Linked DNA regions of Struthio camelus. The protein of the gene in region 2 interacts with the protein of the main gene of each other region in a pairwise test. Links are inferred from orthologs where the notes say so. Each region holds a gene or a part of one and is shown on either strand. Other genes may lie near its edges.

Evidence for each region.
Region 1: the proteins of SATB1 (region 2) and PIAS3 interact in a two-hybrid assay, tested with the Homo sapiens proteins (2 studies listed by BioGRID and IntAct). The link is inferred for Struthio camelus from reciprocal best matches to the Homo sapiens genes SATB1 and PIAS3.

Annotation. Positions count from the first base shown.
Region 1 is NC_090971.1:3,179,894-3,187,078, reverse strand, and holds the start of PIAS3 (E3 SUMO-protein ligase PIAS3), read left to right. Parts: upstream 1-4,110; 5' UTR 4,111-4,172; coding exon 4,173-4,196; intron 4,197-5,742; exon of another isoform or gene 5,743-5,860; intron 5,861-6,089; exon of another isoform or gene 6,090-6,132; coding exon of another isoform or gene 6,133-6,147; intron 6,148-7,185. Other genes in the region: ANKRD35 (ankyrin repeat domain-containing protein 35), read left to right, coding at 169-1,418, 1,455-2,033, 2,689-2,778, 2,889-2,954, 3,088-3,150. UniProt on the Homo sapiens protein: Functions as an E3-type small ubiquitin-like modifier (SUMO) ligase, stabilizing the interaction between UBE2I and the substrate, and as a SUMO-tethering factor.
Region 2 is NC_090943.1:42,032,074-42,039,134, forward strand, and holds the start of SATB1 (DNA-binding protein SATB1), read right to left. Parts: upstream 3,021-7,061; 5' UTR 2,637-3,020; coding exon of another isoform or gene 2,633-2,636; intron 505-2,632; exon of another isoform or gene 274-504; intron 1-273. UniProt on the Homo sapiens protein: Crucial silencing factor contributing to the initiation of X inactivation mediated by Xist RNA that occurs during embryogenesis and in lymphoma.

The DNA.
Region 1 (7,185 bases), on a different chromosome or scaffold from region 2:
CGACAGCCTGGGTGGCCCTGCAGGTGGCTCGCCCCATCCCCGCTGCACTGCACTCTGAGTTCCCGATGGGAAAAGTATTGCCAGGGGCACCACAGCTCTGCCCTTGGCTGCCCATGGCTTGGAAATGTGGTGCATTGAGCCTTCGCGGGTCGTTTCTTCTCCCGCCAGCAGGGAAAGGAGCTGGTTGTCCTGGGGATGCCGAGATGCAGGTAAAGCCAGCAGCCACTTCCCTGCGCGATGCACCCGTGGCCTCCGACTCCTGTTCAACGCACGCCGTGGCTTGCTCCCACGTGTCCCAGGCGGCCCCAGCTTGCAACAGCACAGACGACAGCGAGGAGGAGGAGGAGGAGGAGGAAGGCTGTGACGCGGAGGAGTGGCGGTGCCGCTGCGAAGCCGAGCGGGCCAAGGTCCTGCAGCTGGAGCAGCAGCTGGTGACAAAGGTGCGGGAGTGCGAGTGGCTCTCGGCCGCCCGTCGGACAACAGCGCGCAGCCTCTGGCAGCGGGTGCGAGAGCTGGAGCAGCTGCTGCTGGGGACAAAGAGTGAAGCCGGGACAGAGCCGGAGGATGACTATTGCCTGACCCTCCTGGCCGAGCACCTGCGGGAGCTGAGGAGGAGGAAGGAGGAGGCGGCAGGAGGCTTGGCGGCACCGGAGGAAGAGGAGGAGCGGCAGCAAGGTGAGCCAGAGCGGGAGGATGCGTGCAGGAGGCTACGGGAGCTCGAGGACCACTCAGAAAACCCACCAGCCACGATCGCCGCCGCCGAGCAGGCCCAGCTTGACGGGGACGAGCAGCGGCTGTGGGCACCTCTGGCACTGTTCCTCTCCTGGCTGGAGGAAACCTGCACCAAACTGCGGGCGGAGAAGCTCACCGTCTTCACCAGGAGCAAGGGACTGAGGAAGGAGGTGGAGGAAGCTTTGAGGAGCAAACTGCATTATGAGGTGGTGTCGGCCGACGCCGTCCGGAAAAGCCTGGCGGCCTGGGAGAAGCTGGCACTGGGGCTGGAGCAGGCGCTGAGCCACGCCGACGAGAGTCATGCCGAGCTGCTGCGGAGATCCCGGCCCCTCCTGGAGACCCTCCGGGCCCTGCAGAGTCAGCGGGAGCTGGAGGAGCCGCTCGACGGGGCAGCGCCTTCCCGCTCGCCAGAGAACGGCAGGGCCAAGCCAGAGGAAGTGAATCCAAGCCAGGCAGAAAAAAGCCAGAGCCAAGCACGCACGCTGGAGAGAGAGGCCGAAGAGCGGCCGCGGGCCAGGAGCTCCAAGTTGGAGAAGGAGGTGCTGGAGCTCAAGGAGAGCAACGGAAGGCTCCTGGGCGAGCTGGCCCAGCTGGGCCGGGAGCGTGAGCGGCTGCAGGAAGAGCTGCGTGGGCTGCGAGAGCGGGACGCCAGTGCGGCGGCGGCCACCGAGGGGCCTGGGCAGCGGGCAGCCGCCCTGGCCCGGGCGCTGGAGGCCGAGCAGGAGGAGACGACACGGCTGAGACGGCGGCTGGCGGCACAGCGGCGGGAGCTGGCGGTGCTGCGAGACAGCCTGGGCGCCCAGGCCCAGGAAGAGGCCGGCAACCAGCTCCCTGGCGCCTGCATCCTCCAGGAGCTGCACTGCAAGCTGGACGGGCTGGTGAGGACGCAGCACGAGGCCTTGCAACTCGTGTCGCAGATGGAAGGCGAAGGCGAGGCACTCGGGGATGCCCCGCGGCCGCCGGGTGAAAGAGACCCCCGCGGTCGCTGGGACGAGGACGGCGGAGACGGGCCAGCCGCAGGGGCCGCGCTGCGCTCCCGCGAGGAGATGACCCCAGACATCCCAGAGGGCAGCCGGGCGCTGCGGCGGGAGCTGGAGGCAGCCAGCGCTGAGGCCGCGCGCTGGGCCGAGGCTGCGGCTGCCGAGAGGAGGGCGAAGGAGGAGCTGGAGGTGCGGGCAGCCGAGCGGGAGCAGGAGGCACGGGAGCTGCAGGTGACATCGCGGGGGCTAGAGAGGAGCGTGGAGAAGCTCAGCGCCAAAGTGGGTGAGCTCGCCAGGGCCTGCCAGGACAAGGAGGGGAAGGTAAGAGTCAGGGCCCACACACAAGGCTAACAGGAGGAGGCAGCCCCTTCCCATCACCATCCCCTTGCCATCGGTATGTCCTTGCCATCGTTATGTCCTTCCCATCGCCGTTCCCATCACCATCACTTGCCCATCACCGTCCCCTTCTCATTCTCTCCTTCCCATTGCCATCCCTTTCCCATTGCCATCCCTTTCCCATCATAATCTCTTTCCCTGCCCATCAATATCCCCTTCCCATCATCATCCCCTTCCCATAGTCATCACCTTCCCGTTCCCATCATTATCCCCTTCCCAACACCATCTCCTTCCCATCACCGTCCCCTTCCCATTGCCATCACCTGCCCGCCAACATCCCCTTCCCATCACCATCCCCTCCTCCTTCCCAACACCATCCTTTTCCCACCATCATCCCCTTCCCATCGCTATCTCCTCCTGATAAAGCCAACCTGATCCATGGAAATGCCTAACACCCAGCAGGAGCGAGAATTTCCCGTTGTGCAAAAAGATCTCAAAGCGCCCATTTCTCAGCCAACTTTGGGGGGGGGGGGGCAGGCAGGAGGGTTGAGACAACTCCCGGGGGTAGCAGCGGGGCAGGAGCCAGCCCCCCGTTTTTCCCCGTCGGCTCCCAACTCTGCTCCCTGCTGCCTGACGCCAGATCAAGCAGCTGCTGGCGGAGATGGAGAAGCTCTCAGCGGAGGTGCTGGCAGTCCGCAGCGAGAGCGTCCGGCTGCAGCTCCGGCTGGAGGTGGGTCCCCGGCACCCGGCATCGCCCGCCAGCATTGCCTGGCATCGCCCACCGGCATCGCCCACCGGCATTGCCCCGGCTCTGCTTCCAACCTCCTTTTTTCCCACCAGCTCCAGCAGAAAAACCACCAGGACATCGTCACCATCTACAGAACCCACTTGCTCAACGCCGCCCAGGTAGGAGTCGGAGGCATCTCTGCCCTGGAGGGTGTTTTGGGCTGAAATGCTGCAAAATGCAATTTTTAGCCAGCGCTGGAGGCTGGGACGGAGTCTGGGTGCAGCGGGTCCCGGCTGAGCTTTGCTCCGGCAGGGGTTCATGGACGAGGTGGTGCACGGCATGCTGCTGCGGATCCTGCGGACGGGGGACGCCTGACGCCGCCGGGACGGATCCCGCACGTGCCCCGAAGCCATTAAACGGGAAAAGCTGCTCTGCGTGTGCTGCCTTCCTCCGGAACGGGATGGGGATGGGGACGGGGATGGGGACGGGGATGGGGGGGCCGGGGGGACCAGGGCGGCTGCACCCACCACCTAGCGCCGGGGGCATAGGGCACCCTGGGGGTGGCGGGGCTGGGTGGCCCCCTGGCCCCAGGACTAGTTAGTGGTACTGGTCAGGCCCTGGGCAGGACTAACCAGTGGGACTGGTGAGGCCCCAGCCCCAGGACAGAACTAGTTAGTGGTGCTAGTCAGTCCCCAGGCCAGGACTAGTTAGCAGTGCCGGTCACCCCCGGGCAGGACTAGTTAGCGGTGCCAGTCATCCCAGGCCAGGACTAGTTAGCAGTGCCAGTCACCCCTGGGGAGGTCTAGTTAGCGGTGCCGGTCAATCCCCAGGCCAGGACTAGTTAGCGGTGCCGGTCAGTCCCCAGGCCAGGACTAGTTAGCGGTGCCAGTCACCCCTGGGGAGGTCTAGTTAGTGGTGCCGGTCAATCCCCAGGCCAGGACTAGTTAGCGGTGCCAGTCACCCCTGGGCAGGACTAGTTAGCGGTGCCAGTCACCCCAAGCCAGGACTAGTTAGCGGTGCCAGTCACCCCTGGGGAGGTCTAGTTAGCGGTGCCGGTCAGTCCCCAGGCCAGAACTAGTTAGCGGTGCCGGTCACCCCCGGGCAGGACTAGTTAGCGGTGCCGGTCGCCCCGGGCAGGACTAGTTAGCGGTGCCAGTCACCCCTGGGGAGGTCTAGTTAGCGGTGCCAGTCAGTCCCCAGGCCAGGACTAGTTAGCGGTGCCGGTCGCCCCCGGACATGACTAGTTAGCGGTGCCGGTCGCCCCGGGCAGGACCACTCGGCGGCGGGGCGGAGTTGCGCGACGCTCCCTGCCCGCCCCCCCTCCCCCGCGCGCCGTGCGGCTGCGGCCGGGCGCGGAGTTTGCCTCGGCCCCTGGCGCGCGGCTGCCATGTCCCAAGATGGCGGAGGCGGCAGAGCTGAAGGTGCCGCGGGGGGGCCGCGGGGCCGGGCTGCGGCGGTGTGGGGTGGGGTGGGGGTGCCGGGCGGGGAGGCTTGGGGGTGAGGCATTCTGGGGGTGCGAGAGGGACAGCGGTGGCCGTGTGGGGCCAGGGGGCTGGAAGGCTGGAGCCGGGGGGCAGGAGCCGAGAGGCTGTGGGGCAGGAGCAGGAGCCAGGACCCGGGGGGCTGTGGGGCAGGAGCAGGGGCCAGGACCCGGGGGCTGTGGGGCAGGACCCAGGGGACTTTGGGGCAGGGGCAGGGGCCAGGCCCTGGGGGGGCTATGGGGCAGGACTCGGGGGGCTGTGAGGCAGGAGCAGGGACTAGGACCCGGGGGGCTGTGGGGCAGGAACTAGGGGCCTGTGGGGCAGGAGCAGGGGCCAGGACCCAGGGGACTGTGGGGCAGGGGCCGGGACCCGGGGGGGCTATGGGGCAGGACCCAGGGGACTGCGGGGCAGTGGCAGGAGCAGGGGCCAGGACCCAGGGGCTGTGGGGCAGGAGTAGGGGCCAGGAACCGGGGGATTGTGAGACAGGGGCAGGGGCCAGGACCCGGGGTGGCTATGGGGCAGAACCCAGGGGACTGTGGGGCAGAAGCAGGGGCCAGGACCCGGGAGGCTGGGGCAGGAACTAGGAGGGCTGTGGGGCAGGAGCAGGGGCCAGGAACCGGGGGCTATGGGGCGGGGGCTGAGTAGTAGGAGCGGGGAGGGGCTGTGGGGCAGGGACCAGGCGTAGGAACCAGGGGGGCTGTGGGGTAGGCAGCGGGGCAGGACCCAGGGGTGCTGTGGGGCAGGACCCGGGGGGCTGTGGGCCAGGAGCAGGGGCCAGGAACAGGGGGCTGTGGGGCAGGAGCAGGGGGGCAGCGGAGCAGGGCTGAGTGGAAGAAGCAGGGGGGCTGTGGGGCAGGAACCAGGTGTAGGAACCAGGGGGGGCTGTGGGGTAGGGCTGCGGGGCAGGAACCAGAGGGGCTGTGGGGCAGGTCCAGGGAGCTGTGGACCAGGGCTAGGGGGCAGGACCATGGGGCAGGGCAGGGGGGACTATGGGGTAGGAGCAGGGGGCAGCGGGGCTGGCAGAATGAGGGGCCGGATGCTGAGGCTCGCCCCAGGCTCAGGGCTCAGGCAATGCGTGGGGCTGGGGGAAGGGTTGGGGGGGTGGAGTAGGGTGATATGCTGGACTGTGGGGCAGCAGGGCTGCAGGTCCTGCGGGGTGGGGATGAAGAGCTGGGGGCTGGGGGGGGGGGCAGAGGGCTCAGCCGTGGGGGTCTACAGTGGAGCGGGGGCGTCCGAAGGGGTGCAGAGGGAGAGCGGGCAACGCCGGGGGAAGAGGCGGATGGACAGACGGGGACGGACGAGGAAACCGTGGGGCTGAGCGGCAAGGGGGCTGGGGCCAGGGCGGCGGGGGGCTGCGGAGGCAGGCGCAGAGACCGCCCGGGCGAGAGGGTCACGTAGGAAAGGGGGTCGGGTTTTGGACGTCGGCACGCTGAGCGGCGGATGAGGCTGCTGAATCAGGCAGCGACCTCCCGTGCTGTTTGCAAAGAGGAGGGGGCTGGAAGATTTTGGGGGGCTCAGGCGTGCGACGGAGGTTCAGAGAAAAGAAGTAGAAACCTGAAGGAAGGGAGAGCCAAGAAACGGAGCAGTTCAGACCCTCGAATGAGGTAGGGGAGTGCGGAGAGCGCAGAAAATAACCGGTAGGCTGGAGAGGGGATGAAGCTTGAGGCAGATCTTGGGGCAAGACGATGGTATAGCGGGCCGGGGAGCTGCGAGATGCTCCTGGGGTTTCGTAGGGGAGGAGGGAGCGGAGAGCGTGTAACATGGTAGTGCTGCACCAGTGCTCACAGCTGGATGGGGTTTCATCTCCCTCCACTCTCTTTTTCTCGTTTTTAGGAGTCAGAGTGTGTAACCACCTTTGCCCACCAGACTGTGGAATATGAAATTGCCCCTGGTAACTAATTCCAAAGCTGATTTGTGTCCTTGTTGGCGTTTAATATTTTTTCCCACAGGCTGGAATATAGATCTTAGCTGGCTGAAGTGGCCTAAGAGTCCTGCCCCCTTCCCTCTGCTGGGAATAGTAAGACATTTGGGAACTGGCACCTTCTTGGCAGCCAGCCACAGCAAGAACATAATTCTCTGGAGCTAGTATGTGTCTGTAATCTTTCCAGCAGCGGCCCGTCCAAATTTTGATACTGCTTTATGGTGTGATTGTTCTCCTTCCCCTAAAACTCTGTGTGACCTAAGCATGACTACAATGGGAGCCCTATCAAGTGTCAAAATGTTAACAGTATTTGTGGAGAAATTGGATCCGATAATTGTAATTGGGTGAATTGGAACAGCGCAGAACTTGAGCTCCAGAAATGCTTTTTATTTGTGCCGTTTCCCAGCATTCCAGGCAAGGTGTTAATGGCAAAAAGACCCACGTCCCCAGGCTCAGGTGAATGAACGCAGGGGCGCAGGCCCTGGTCCCGCTTTGACCCGCTGTTGCGTTCAGCAGGATGCATGTAAACGGTGCTGCTGCCCTCAGTGTGGCTACTCATCATATGCACTATAAAATAGCACATGCGTAATCCTGCAGTTTCAGGCCATAGCTAGCAAATGGCAAAGCTGAGTGCAACATACAGAGGGCAAAGTGGGTGTAATGTCCTTGGCATTTTCCACTCTGTTCCCTCTGCAGATAAATCACTGCAGAGGAATTGTGTTTTAAGGAGAGATGAAGCTTAGCGCATAGGTTTACATTCTCTGAGGTTTGGCCCACCTCTGAGATCCTCTAGTGGTCTTCCAGACTTCAGCCCTTTCTCTGGAGCCTGGCATTATTCAAGGCTCTCTTCAGTTTATTTTTAAATCTGTGCTCCCTTCCGGCAACTGAATTCTCTTGTCCATCTCCCCTAAGCCCTTTTTAGTTTACTAGCCAGGAGTTTAAGATTTTTACCATCTGTATCTCATTGTAAAAGCAAGACCGAGCCAGTTGAAAATGAAACAGTTTCTC
Region 2 (7,061 bases):
AATCTGCTTGGCTTTTTCTCCAAATACAGCTGGAAACCTTAAGAAGGACTTCAAATTTATCTATGACACTCAGATTAAAAAACAGGTGACAATAGAAGTACTTCTAAAAATTGAGTAGCTGACACAATATTTGATTGTTAAAACATTTGTTTTTTCAAGAACGCCAAAATACCCCAGCTTCATTTTCTAAACTGCAGTCGCACGCTTCTAAACCCCTCTCCACCCAAAACCAGAAATGCAGCGTAAGTTGGTGCGCGTTCAAGACTTTCCTACCCTCCAGATGCTGTTGCGACGAAGGGGTGAGTGTGCCCACGTTCCCCGGAGGATTTGGCGTTCGGGCACCCGTCGGATGCTTACGGGGCAGCGGATGGCACCATTTGGGAGTCCCAAAAGAGCTGCAGCAATCAAGGCAGGTGCCGCCCGGCTGACCTCTGGGGCCTACGCTGCAGAGCCCAATGGGACCCTCCTCAAATGCAGATTTGGGCTGCTGAGATAGATCCTCTCTGTTTCTCTCTCGCGCAAAACAGCATGTGCCATTAGTGAGCCACAGACCGACTTTTATCTGCTTTATAGCTTTCTCAGGGGTACGGAGCAGGTTAGGATTTATGCATATCGCTAAAATAACAGGAGTCCAGAAACAGAAACTGTGATAGTTACTTTCCTATTTAAAGCATCAACAAGAAAGAGTCTAAAAAGGAAACTGCTACTTTTTTAAAGTGTACGCACAAAAAGCATTCCATTTAAATATTTTTTGTTCCAGTAAACTCTTTTGCATACAAAGGACTTATTTATTACATATTTGAACTTGTGGGAAAAAGAGAAGGAATGCACTGATTCCTGAAATAACTCTACAGGCTTTTTGGAAACTTTACTCTTGTTCTTGTTCTACTCAGAATAGTCTTATTCCAGGGAAGGAGGAATTCCTTGGAGCCAGTTGTTTCTTTTCCACTAGCTGTTTGTATTCAAGAGTGGGCATATATAGCATATTAACCAACGATTTTAATTTTTCTTCTATTGCCTTATAATGTGTGTGTGCTATCTGTTCAGATGCACACTTACACTTGCACACGTTACCTCTTCTGCTTGCTCTTTTTGTTACCTACTCTACGTGATTACACATTTCTGCACAAATCATTACTTCGACTTGAAAAGCAAGGTAATACCAACAACAATCTGAAATGGAAAATGAAATGGAAAATGAGCGTATGCGTAAATGTATTAAAAAGCATATAGGAACACGGGATTGAAAAGAGCACTCTAAAATTCTACAAACAGTGCTGCAGAGTAATGAGATGATACAAATTACAGAGAACATCCTACATTCATGCCTTTACACTCTATGCTTACTGTTGCAAGTTGTTTTTTGAATAGTGCGCCTGATTTGACACATTTCTATCTAGTGAGTGTGTTAAATGCTTGAAGAGATAGTGAAATATCCAAGCATTCCTTGTGCTAACTAAAGTTGAAATTTTACACTTATTGTAACCTTTTCTAACAATGTGAGAAAAACAGAGTAAATATATTAAATTTGTTTCACAACAGATGCTTAGGTTGTTAATATTTAAGATGCCTATTCATGCTATTCCTGTCTGCACATTTGTCAAAAATGTAAGCTTGAATGCTAATGTTTGCCAGCAGACTACAGCAGACAAATATATGAATGTACTATACCAAAATAATATAAAGTAGAAATAAGGGACGGCTGCTAACTCACACCCAAGAAGCAGGGACTGCAAGGAAAGGGTCCTGCTAGATCATACGCCTTAGAGTCTGTGAATCTGAATTTGTGAGTTATTTTCACGGAAGCACCGCACTCCGTTGGAGCGAACAAAAACCGATGGCGAGCTTTCGTCATTTTAAACGCATTTCAGCTTAGGAGCTGGTGCGAAGTGTTTCAGCGAACTTGCGTTTTAGCGAAGTTTCTCCAGCAGGCAGCGAAGCCTGGAGCCTGGCAAAGGAAAACTTAAAACCGGGCAGGTGCCGCCTGTCAGGAGCGCTCCGCCCGGGCAGCGGCCGGAGACGCCGGCAAAAGGACGGCGACGGGGGCACAACCTCGGGCGGCGGTTTTGCCGGCGGAGCGGAAAAAATCAGAATAAAAGCGCGGAGCACGGACGGGGTTGTGGGGGAGGCGCTGGGGCTGCTGCGGCCCCCCGCACCTCCGCACCGCACCGCGCCGCGCCGCGGGGGAGCGCGCAGCTCCGCGCTGGCGCCCGGCGGCCTCGCCGCGCCCGCGGCCCACGACGGCTCCCTCCCCCCCTCCCGCCTTCCTCGCCCCGCGCTCTCCCGGGCGCCGCCGGCCGCGGTGCCCCGCGTCGGGGAGGCGCGCGGGGCCGCGCGAGAAGTTTGCCAAACTTTTCGGACGGCTCGTGGTTTTTTTTTTTTTTTTGTCCTCCCTCTCGCCCCCGCGGGGCGGCGGCGGCAGGTGCGCGGCCGGGCGGCGGGCGGGCAGCGGCGCCCCGTCGCGGAGCCTCCCCGCCGTCCCCCGCGCTGCCGGCGCCGGCCCTGCGCGCCCGCGCCCGCCTCCGCGGCTTGTGCCCCCCGCGCTGCGCTGCCCCGTCTGCCCCCCCCCATTCCCCCCCCACCTCCTTCCCTCCCTCCCCCCAGAGAGGCCGAGGAGCGGGGAGCGACTCACGCATGGGAGCGCGGCGGGCGAGGCCGGCGACACCTCCGGCTTCCGAGGCGCCGGCGAAGTTAATTGCACTGAAGTTCAAGTTGTCTGTTCACCCATCGGGAGTGGGCGTTTAAAGGAAGGAGAGCGAGGAGGAGGAGGGGGAGGGGGGAAGGGGGAGAGTCTCTCTCTCTCTCTCTCTCTCTCTCTCTCTCTCTCTCTCTCTGTGTCTCTCTCTGTGTCTCTCTCTCGCGCACACACACACACACACACGCACACACACGCACACGCACACGCGCGCACGCACACGCGCGCCTGCCCGCTCGGCTCCCCTCCCGAGCTGCCTGAGCGAGGAGGAGCCCGGACGGAAAACACCAGGGCAGCAGGTACCGGCGTGGGGCAGCTCTGCCTGCGCGCGCGTGTGCGTGTGTGCGCGCTCCCCTCCCGGCCGCCGCGCACGGCGCCCTCGGGCGGGGTGCGGTGCCCCCGGGGGAGGGGGCGGCGGTGCCGTCGGGGCAGCGCGGGCGCGGGGAGCCTGGGTTGGGGCGGGGGGGGGGGGCTGCGCGCCGCCCTGCGCGGCAGCGGAGTGGGGGGCGAGCCGCGTTTTTGTGTGTGTGTGTGTGGTGCCTCCTCCTCTCTGCTCGCTGACTCGGTGGGAGTGCGAGAGGTGGGGGGTGTGTGTGTGTGTGTGTGTCCCCGCCGCCCCCTCCGCCGCGCAGGGAGCCAGGTAGGACACACACACACACACACACACACACACACAGAGCAGCGAGAAAGGTCGGAGCCCCCCGCGGAGCACCGCGGCCCCACCGCTTTCCCTTCCCTCCTTCCTCCCTCCGCTGCTTCATTCCCGCCCGCGGCTGCCCCCGCGGGAAGGCCGCGCCGGCGGGGCCGTTTCGGGCCGGGATGGCACCGCGCTGCTGCGGCGAGCGGCGGCGGCGCAGGACCGGCTCTGACGGCGCGCAGCTCCGCGGCCGCGCAGGCGGCGGGGGGCTGCGGGGCGAGGGCCGGCAGCCTGCGGAGGGGCCGCGCCGCGGTGGTGGCGACCCGCCCGAGCCGGGCGGCAGCGGGGCCGCGCCGTCGGGGCCGGCAGCGGCAGCGGGGCCGGGTGCCGCCGCGCTTCACCCGCGGTTCCCTCGCCTGATGTTTCACCTGGCACGACGTGCTCCACAGTACCGCTGTTTCGGAATTCTCTTTTTTTTTTTTCCGTTTAATTTCTCCTTGGGGAGGGACTTTTTCCTCTGTTCTTTTGTTTTTAAGACCTTCCTTCCCTTCTTCGCTGATGCACAGTTTGGAAGTGGAGTTCCTGGAGAGTGAACCTGGCAGTGAGGGCAGGTTTCCCTGAAAGCTGAGGCTGTTTCTTATTCCCTAGGAGCCTGAGAAGAGAGGGGACCCTGGATGTCAGCCCGATCTCCTTTTTTATTTATTTTGACTTTGTGGCAGATTTCATCTTTCAGCTCTGGGAATTGACAAATGCAATTCATGTAGGCACCTTTACATGTCTTACAAACAAGACTGACACTGTGAAGTTGATACGTCAACACTTTTCCTAGTAAACCAGTGGTATGCTCTTCTATTAATTGGTATTAGAAAGTGCAGCCTTGTAACACAGTTATTGAATAATCATTAATCCACGGAGGATACACAAGCCCAAAGGTTAATAATGGTAATAACAATTAATAATATTGACTTTGCTGGCAGGAAGAATACTTTCTCATAGTTATTATGAGGCACTCCCATTTATAAATTTGGCCCCAATACATTGGCTACCAAGTTACTGCAGCAGCAGTAGAAGTTAATTTAGCCTGTTATCTCCATGTTATTTGGCCTCTATATTTTTCTCCCTTTAAAATGTATCATGCACTGGCTGATTTTAAATAGAAATGCCAAGCCTTTAATCAATTCTGACATTTCCACTAGAAAACAATACCTAGCTCTGTTACGCAGATAAAAATTTCTTTGCATGTAGTGTTTTGGACCTGTTCATTTCTTGGAGAGGGCTTAGCTTTTTACGATCTTTAGGTAGTATGGGATGCTAAAAAGAAAGTGCAATGGGAACTTTCACACTTTTACAAGTACAGCTAACCATTCCTTAGAGCTTCCTCCTCACTGACTGACTGGTTGTCACGTTTTCTGTAGTCAAAGACCCATCTCCTGTATTTGTATCACACTCTTCTGCCTGGTTGGTCATTGAATCCTAATAGTAATCATGTTTCATGTCTCAGAAATCCAATCATCAAGTTATTCAATCTTATAAATTGCAACTAAGCTATTTGGGTTAGTCATGTTATTCCCACTTTAGAGTCAGGGAAACTGAAACAGGAAAATTTAATACATTTTGACTGAGGCCACACATGGATTGAAGAGTAGATCCAGGACTGGAACTGAATTATGGATTTAGATCATGCTACCACTTAAAGACGCCAAAGTACACTACGGAAAATGCCTCTTTAAGAAAGAATTCTAATATAAACCTTTTTTTTCCCCAATGATTTTATGTATTAATGAAAATACAAATTTTTGAGGTCACATTTCCTTTTCTACATAAAATATTTATCCAGATTTTTAGAAAACGTAGTGATACCTTTGAACTTCACAGGCAGTTTACTTTGGAAAGAAGAAACTTAATATGAGATTGTGTGCAGTAATGGAATCAGAATTGCTTATTATTAGGTGATGGTAAACAATATTCACTGGATGTCATGGGGTAATTACAGGCCAACAAAATATACTGTGAAGTTCAGTATTAGTATAGATAAGGTGCTATTGCTTACCTAGTGTGCACTGGTTTTCACTCTAATGCTTCGACAGTGCTTTCAGTATGAAAATAATTAGCATAGGTCTAAACATTGGAAAACATTCAGGATAACTATATATTGTGTTTGAAAGTTATGATTTATATCATTAAGCAGTGTGTTTTATAAAGTTGTCATTCATGTCAATGAAGCAAGTATACTGCCTGCCCTTTAGTTGTGGCATGCCATCAAAGCTATATTATGGTATGACTGAGCACAGATGGCATGCCTAAAAAAGCAGGTGTACAATGTAACTTTCCTATTACTGACACGTTGAAATTTCCTCTTCCTCAATGTCCACCACAGATGTTTGCTTGCCCAGCCTTCTACAAGAACTGTAGAAAGTCGTACGCATCTGCTCATCCCTGAAGTCTGGAACTGTACAGCCAAAACTCTCTACAGAATATGTGTTCATATATTGTATTTATGCATGTATTTATGCTGACAGCTACATTTTATCACTGAGTTTTTTCAGAGTGCTGATTTGAGGAAAGTGGGTGCAGATCTCATTCAAGTAATCATCCTCCAATACCACTAGTGTTACCTGCCAAAAATGAAAGTGGCATATGAATCACAATAATCCACTCATTAATTTGTGGATTCAGAGCCTGCCAAGGAACATCAGAAATCCACGTGATGTCCCTGAGTTTTAGGGACTTTGAAAGATGTGTAAAAGTGCATTTATCCAAAGACTGTCTTATTGATGACTTATCTTACTGATAAGGGCTACTGACATAACCTAAAGACCACAAGAACTGAAAATATTTATGTCCAAATCTTTCCCTTCCAGGCGGAATAGTGAAAGTGGTGAATCTGCCAACTGTAGCTATGTCGGAGGCCCTTCCTGAGGTGCCTCTTCTTGAGTGCTACTGTGACCTAGTGACTTGGAGATACACTTTTACTTAAGAAGAGCTATCGGATCCTCTGTGAAATATCACAGATGCTTTCTGATTCTTTCAGATATGCATATATCTTTATGCTTACACCTGAGCAGAGAGGGGTGGGGAGGGGAGCAGAGCAGGGAGTAGAGTGGGGTTAAGAGCATCCACATAGATCCTGCAAACAAATAAATACATGTATATTTTCTTTATCTGATGTTACTTGGTGCTTGAAATGGAATGATCAATATTAAGAAGAAATACTTCATTATTGTGTGCATACTTGAGAGTTATGTTGGTTGATAGAGAAGGCCATTTTCTGCCTGTCATTACAGATATTCAACAGACCTGTAACTCTGATCTGTCTTACACAAACCACACATCTCTCAATGACAAAAACTCTCAGTAATGCTCAGATACTGATATCATTCCCAAGTATATGTACCTAATCAAGTATGGCTTATTTTCAGCTCCTAGTATATTGCTAATGCTACAGTAGTGAAAAACAGTATGCGCTACCTACCACTTCTTATGATTCCTTGCTTTCTTTATGATTTACTTTAAGCTAAGCACGCCAGAAACTGAAAATAACATTTGAGCCTTTTCTCCTCTGACATAGGAAAACAACTGCCTAATTTCTGTAATCTGTTCATATGTTAGTACTTCTGAAACAAAGCAAAAAGCCTGCTCGCTATGACAAGGTCTGCCCATAGCTGTCTCAGCAGCTTAATGAAATGTTAAGGCCTGGTTTAAGTAACTACGCTCCAAATGTTATTAGTG